2 linked regions of the Mytilus edulis genome follow. The protein of the gene in region 2 purifies or fractionates together with the protein of the main gene of each other region. This does not show direct contact. Links are inferred from orthologs where the notes say so. Each region holds a gene or a part of one and is shown on either strand. Other genes may lie near its edges.

Region 1 (3,939 bases), about 31 Mb from region 2:
CACAGGAACTTATTTAAAACTTTTAATATTAACTGGAACAAAATTCATGGAGCTATGATATTTGTTCCGGAACTTATTTCATATTTGGTCAAAAAATTAGTTCCGGAACAAATTTTACAGTGCTGGAACATATTTTCTGTGATATAAGTTCCGGCGGAACATATTTCCTATGAAATTAGTTCCAGCGGAACAAATGTCACGCCGGAACATATTTTTTGTTACACATCCAGTTGGGACCGGCAATTATCATCTTTTAAATTATATGGGACAAGTTCTGATGTCCCATGGCCCCAGCTTTTCAAAACAGCCGTTGGATGTCAGAGTAATCTTGGACTCAAGAAACAATGCTTTAAAGCAAAAAAAAATAATAACCTATCAAGACATCATAATTATTTGGAACAGGAAGCACCGGTCTATGACTTGAGGAAATTTTATTTATGCGTTTTGTGTAAATCTAAAGACACTGCATCACAGCAGCTTTTTAAGAGTTAGCAAAAATACGAGTATATGATGATGGAAACTGTCACTGTTATTGTAATTGATAGTCAATACAACTTTATTGATTTCAATTAAAAAAACATCAGCTGATGTCAGTGATGATGTTATCAATTATTGTGCAAAATTTCAATCAAACATGTCTTTTATCCATTTTTATACCAAATATCATAAAAAAAAACTAGACATCGTTATTTACCATTTTGAATTGATGTTTAAAGAATCATAATCTCATGATCAAGGATATTTTTTAAGTACTCGAAATTGATCTCATGGCATAGTTTGAGTTCTCTCCCCTTGTATCGGTGCATCATAAATTTAGACCGGAAACGAAATTCCACCTCATTTTCAAAGTTTAAATTATTGAAATTATCTGAATTATTATGATTGATGATTTAATTTTTCTCTCTATTATTTTTTGTTTCATAAGAAACTCATCAAATCTATAAGAAACTTATTATTATAAGTGATTAATTTTATTAAGAAAAAATTCATTGGACACCGGTCTATAAGGGGAAGTAACTGCTGCTAAACGTGTCAAAATTGAGATTGAGAGAACGAAAACTGGACAAAATGACACAAATGAACCATTCATTGGTTTTTAGATGAAAATATAGAAGCACAAATATAAAGATAATTATACAACCTAAAGTTACAAAAAAGCATTTTTTTCAAATATTACGAAAGTGCATTTATTTTTGGGCAGAAATATATCTGGAAACTTTCCATATTGTGCCATAAAGTCTTACATCAGAGAAAATACCAGTTTAAAATTTCAAAAAAGTTTAAGAAACAGTCATGGTTCTTGCAGATTTAGGGAGGAAAATTACCTCAGCGCTGAAATCTCTCAGCAATGCTACAATAATAAATGAAGAGGTAAGGTTTATAACTTTCTGGGGGTAAGTCCCATCTCGTCCATACTGGAACAGTGTAAATAAATACTAAAATTTAAATCTGTGCCGATACAGTGTGTTTAAATTTCTCCATTACATATGGTGATGGTCCTAATGATAAGAGGCTATATGTAGAATACCAATACAAAGTATTTGGTAGAAGTTTTAAAGATGAGGATATCCTCATGATCAATGCAATTGTTCCAGTTATACTGCTAGTTCGGCTACAGTTGTTTCGGCCATACTTTGTAAAGATGTTTCTGTAATGGATTTTCTTATTACAAAGAGAAGAAAATATAATTGTTTTCAGAAAGAAAGGTAAACAAATGGCAAAATGTATTTTAATTATACATTGTTGTACCATGTATACCATAAGGAGGGCGTCTCTTCCTATAAAAAGGGATACACAGATATGCTGATGGTATGGTTTACTTTTGTTTTAATGTCAATTAAATCAATGGGGTGCCATTTCATGGAAGTAATACATCAATAGGCAATGGGTAGCTAGACTGATTGGCTGAACCCAACTTTTTAAATGTGCTATAGATCATGGTTTAATCTAGGACTTTGAGGGCTTGAGTCACTTTTGCACGCTATTTAAATCAACCTTATTTTGTGTAACATCAAGGGACCAAGGATGTATATTACTAACTACATCTTTGACTTTGCCAAACTTGAAAGGACTTATAGGCATGCTTGGCAGTTATTTTTTATTTGACTAGTTTGGCCTTTATTATAATATATTTTACATGGGATCTGGAAATTTAGTTCTCAATTAGCCTTTAGTTTGTTCCAGGGGACATTCCTGATCAACAAAAGTTGGATTTCTTATTTTTATTTTTTAAACAAGGAATCACAGCAGAAATTAACTTGCAACACTGCATAATCATTTATTTTTTTAAATGCTAAACCGATATTTTGGAAACATTTCTATTAAGTTGGATTTGTATAAAATCTTTTTTGGAACAATTAAAATGACTGTAAGGAGGTTGGACAGTGGCGGATCCAGAACTTTTTATAAGGGGGGCGGGGCCTGCTGACTGACCTAAGGGGGGGGGGGGCCTCAGTCATGCTTCAGTGATTCCCTATATAATTAACCAAATTTTTCCCACAAAAGGAGGGCCCGGGCCCCCAGCCCCCTGGATCCGACTATGTTGTAAGCAAATCAAGAATAGATAACTTTTAATACATTCGGTTTTTAATGCTAAAATCTTTTTACACTTTCAAAATTTAAGTGACAAAATTAATTTGAAATACTTTCGTCTTTTTGAAACCGTTTCGTAAATTACAAAAATGACAAGCACTAGCAAAATCACTGCTTTAGACATAGTTTTCAAAGGTAAGACATATCATTCTACCCAGACACATTATTTTGACTCTAGCCTGACCAGTCATAAGCTGTGTGAAGTAGCAAATACCAATTTTTAAGTCTTTACATGATGTTTACTTTGACTTGGACTTTGTCGGAGGGGATTACAATTAATGAACCCATGATGTCCAGCGCTTGAGGCAAGGTATATATACATGTAGATGAATAAAAACCTAAATTGAAATACTTGGTTATGGTAATGAAAAATTAAAGTTATTTAAAAAATATCATGAATATGGGTTATAATTTCTTATAAACATGATAAATATTGACAGTTATTAAATTTAATAAAAGCCAGGTACAACTTTTTTTTCATTCATGTGTGTTTCAGGTCTTAAATGGCATGCTTAAGGAGATATGTGCAGCTCTATTGGAGGCTGATGTCAACATATTCTTAGTCAAACGGTTGAGAGAAAATGTCAGGTATGTAGATATTAAACTTTGAAATGACCATTGTGCCAGTAGTCGGTTGACTACATTTTCCTCTTTAAGCATGTTAAGGATTCATGTTCAATTTCCATGTCAAGGATCCATTCTCAATTTTATATTATGTTGACATTTTAAGACCAAAATTTAAGTCTCAATAGCATCACATGATAAACAAGCATGGATTAATGCAACAAAGGGGAAATGTGATCAGGGTTATAACGGTTGATTTCTTTAGACTTTTTTTCAGTAGTTAGAATATATACCATGTATCATGACTATTACAGACACATGTATGACATGTATGACGGCAAAGTTATTCATTTTATACTATAGTTCTAAAACAACTCTTTAACCATCTTACAGTCAAATACACAGTTATTTTACCTTTAATACATGTAATGACCAAGAGTCCGGAAACGGTAATATTTGTCAGTCTTGAACTAAACTGAAAGTGTTTGTCCTAAACATGGAATTGGGATTTAGGACAAATTTTATTTTTTAACAGAAATAATTTCGGTCATTTTGTTGAGATCGAGTTTCCAAAATCGCCATTTTGAACTTTTGTTTTGTTATCCCTTTCTTGTAATAAAACTGTCACTCCAGTATAGAGTTATAATCCTGAGTTCCCTCCTAATAACTATATTAATGCCTTGGGGAAGTATTGGCTAATGATCGCTGATTTCTTTATCTGTGTTTTTAATTCACACCTTGCTATTGATCACAAGCTCATAACTAATACAAAATGTATTATGA
Region 2 (3,939 bases):
GTCTACCTACCTACCTACCCACTGTCTCTACCTTTGGTAGAGTTTGGGTAAAACAAAATATCTTTTAAGTGTGGCCTGAATAATTTCATTGAATCCATATTCATGTGACCTTCAATTTACCCCATTATCTAAAGATTGGTTGCACATTCAGTCCTGTTCAGCCATAAGGAAAAGAAAGTCAATATTGAAAGTGAAACAAAAGTGACCACAAAAGTGACCAATTTTGTTGACTGATTCGATCCACTAAAAAATTTATGGTATACAGGTAAAAATATTATATTTTTTGTTTAAGTCTCTTTTGGGTTAGGTGACTGTCAGCAGTCTTTGGAGGTCATCTAAATAGTTAATTAGATGGTGTCGATTCTAAAATATACACCAAATTCGGATATGTTTTATTGAGTAAATGTATTTCAACTATTTCAGACTTATTGCAATTTGGATATGAGTTTTAGTATATTTTTAAATGATAAATCATATATGAGAATTTGAGTCAAATGGTCACATGAATTTGACAGTTATGCTACTTTCAAGAGAAAATACTAATAGGATAGTGTTTTTTTCTCATCCTTTTAAGCAAAGTTCAATAGGTTAGTTGGATAATGTCATAATAAGATTTTATCATTGACTTAAATATGTATGTTCATTTGTCAGATCTATGCAAATACTCCCACGTGGTTGGCAATGTAATGGAATTTGATGCGACTGTCATACAAGTGAGAGGTTTAGTTAGCTATAAAACCAGGTTTAATCCACCATTTTCTACATAAGAAAATGTCTGTACCAAGTCAGGAATATGACAGTTGTTATCCATACATTTGATGTGTTTGAACTATTGATTTTGCCATTTGATTTGGGACTTTCCTTTTTGAATTTTTCTCGGAGTTCAGTATTTTTGTGTTTTTACTTTTTTCTAATACACCTAAACTATACATACTTAAAGAATAAGAAAAACCTACCACTGAGTCATCTGTGATCTTTACATTTAATTTTCCATCTGAGTGTCTGTATTTGGTAACAAATCTACACTGTTTAAAAATGGAGATAACTTTGATTAAGTCATATAAACAATGTACAGTACATGTACATGTATGCAACAAAACTAATTTAGGAAACCCTTATCATTCTCTGAGAGAAGAATACTAATAGATTCTGATTATAGTTGATCATCTCAAGGAGATTGATTTTCTCTCCGCTTGAGCAGGTACGGCGAAAGTGAGAAAAGCAATTGAGTTGAGGTGACCAATGATAATCTGTTTAATTTCATTAGCTTAGTTTTTAGCGATAATTTTCATATCACCAATTCTTCTGAGAAAGGAAATTATAAGTCAGTAAGATCAAAAGAAAGTTTCGTAAAATAGCAATAATCTTTAATATTGTATTGTGGGGAAGATGGGAGTCTACTCCTGTATTCAGAAGAAGATGATGAAAAACAAAAAAGAAATTATATACATGTTGTACATGTATTACATTAGACCAAATAATTAAGACGTCTGGAAAGGCTATTATGCTTTTTGCTTTAAATTTTACACCTTACAGTTACCTTAGAGTTGAAAAGTGAAAAAGTAGAATAGCCTTTCTAGACCTCATAATTATTTCGACTAGTATTAGTACATGTATATATAACATGAATCCGGGTCCCTTCGTGCCCAATCACATTTGCACCAAGGCTACCAGTATTTTTATTTTTGTGTTGAATAATTCTTAATCATGTTTTGGTGAGTGTATTATTATAAATATTTTTTTCATGGTTTCTTGTAAATAAAATGCGATTCTGAGATCAAAGGAGCCAAGCTGTTATGAACAAAAGCTTTTATAAACAATTATCTTTCATGTTTTTTATTTAAAATCTTCTGTTTTACTCATACCAGAGACATCTCTGCTCATACCAAGCTAGTCCGAGATTACTCTGATGTCAAACGGCTGTTTTGTCAGACAAGCTGGGGCCGTGCCCCAGCTTGTCTGGCAAAACAGCCTTTGACATCAGAGTAATCTCAGACTAATACCAAGCTAAATACGAAATACATGCAGTATTTCCATCAAAGTAAGTTAAAACAAAAATCATGAGTTTTAAACACTCAACAATATCACCAAATTCAGCTGTTTTATAGTTTTAAATAAAAACAATTGACAAGTCTCATACATTTAACATTAAATAATTAATCATCAAATTAATAAATAATATTTTAATTCCTCAAATTGGAATAAAATTGGGTGTGAACGTGTAGGGTGCAAACAGCATTCGGGGCCTAACATGTGAGGTGCGAACGTGTAGGGTGCAAAAGTATATTGGAACGGACCTGATACGTATAACATCCTTATATAATCTGCTACATTACACATTAGGCACAGGCACTTGTTTCTATCCATAGGAAGGTCAACTATCCATATAAATAGTCGACCTTCCTATGGATTAGTCCGAGATTACTCTGACGTCCAATGGCCCCAGCTTGTCTGGCAAAACAGCCGTTGGATGTCAGAGTTATCTCGGACTACCTATGGATAGAAACAAGTGCCTGTGGCATTAGGTCATCATCTCAACAAGAAAAAGAAAATGTTCACTTTTACTGTTACAGAGTGATCAAACTTACATGCAACCACACATACAAGTTATTGCTATAGTCATTGTTGTGACTGAGTGTTAAAATATGAAGATACATACATGTACTTTTAGTTAATACTATTTTTCTTTGGCCTACGATAGACAGAGACATTTATAAATAGTCATACCTTTGAAGGATCTTTCAGATATAACCGTTCTGCAGCTTTCGAAAAGTCATCCCATGATGTTATGTACGTCATTATGCCTGAGAACACTAGAAATATTGTAAATAAACAGCTGTCTGCTCTCAAAGCATGTACGTCAACAAACCGGAAGTAGTATAAAACGGGTGATGTAGAATGCAAATCATGATTTGAAACGAAGTTCGGAAAAGATTTAAACCCATTCCGCGTATTTATTATTATAATACATAGTTAAAGGTGGCATCAATGATTTGTATATATAGTACTATACAAATCCTTGGTGGCAATGGAGCTATACATAATGAAATATGATAAAACAATTAAAATAAAAGAAAAGCAATACATGAACCTAAGACCGCTGAATGCCTGGTCACCAAAAGATTGTTGCTGAATTTGTGTTTGCTTTTGAATTGAAATAATTGACTGTGAATAGAAGAAGCCAGTTGAAAGTATATATTTACAGCTTCTATTTGAATAGTTATTCTAAAGCTCGACTATTTTAATTTATTACTTGGGAATGTACATAATTTTTCCGATTATCTATCTATAACCCTTTGGCAAATCCTAATTTCTACTAACCGGATGACTTATCGGCAAATTGCACAAACCTATCGCAATATAAATTTATGCACTCAGTTTGCTTTATAATCTGGAATTCTGGATGCATTTATTTCATCTATCATATCTTTATATTTAAACAAAAATATTAGAAACAAAAGAGAAACAACTCGAGGTCAGAATACCGTTAGTAATGATGACAGTTTAAGTCCGCGGCTAGAATGAATTTTAAACACAAGAAAATTATGATCAATTATAAACTCGCTTTTACCTCAATAACATAAGAATACATATTGACAATCCAAATGATTGGTCCACGTAACCACGTGTACAACTATACACATAACAAAAACCGCCAAAAACATACTGTTCTTAAAAAACGTTACCATAAGACAACATGATTTTCCGCCGCTATGCTCCGAAACGCGGAAAAATACAATTATCATCTGATAAGTGTTATGATACGTCTCGATCAATTCTTGACTTTCCTAAATTTGTCTTGATTAGTCCTGACATTCTTGATAATATGTCTGAAGAGTTTTTGACACATTCTTGCCAGTCTTAAATAGTATTAAAACATTTGACTTTTCAACACTTTACAGAAGTATTCCACATTCCAAACTAAAAGACAAATTGAAA

Evidence for each region.
Region 1: the proteins of signal recognition particle 9 kDa protein-like (region 2) and signal recognition particle subunit SRP54 purify together in Homo sapiens (co-immunoprecipitation; 4 studies listed by BioGRID and IntAct, counting the BioPlex papers as one, with this or other methods). This does not show direct contact. The link is inferred for Mytilus edulis from reciprocal best matches to the Homo sapiens genes SRP9 and SRP54.

What each region holds. Positions count from the first base shown.
Region 1 is NC_092346.1:4,738,492-4,742,430, reverse strand, and holds the start of signal recognition particle subunit SRP54, read left to right. Parts: upstream 1-984; 5' UTR 985-1,293; coding exon 1,294-1,371; intron 1,372-3,088; coding exon 3,089-3,180; intron 3,181-3,939. Other genes in the region: acyl-CoA:lysophosphatidylglycerol acyltransferase 1-like, read right to left, coding at 695-697. UniProt on the Homo sapiens protein: Component of the signal recognition particle (SRP) complex, a ribonucleoprotein complex that mediates the cotranslational targeting of secretory and membrane proteins to the endoplasmic reticulum (ER).
Region 2 is NC_092346.1:35,393,749-35,397,687, forward strand, and holds the start of signal recognition particle 9 kDa protein-like, read right to left. Parts: upstream 2,890-3,939; 5' UTR 2,800-2,889; coding exon 2,728-2,799; intron 1,026-2,727; coding exon 957-1,025; intron 1-956. UniProt on the Homo sapiens protein: Component of the signal recognition particle (SRP) complex, a ribonucleoprotein complex that mediates the cotranslational targeting of secretory and membrane proteins to the endoplasmic reticulum (ER).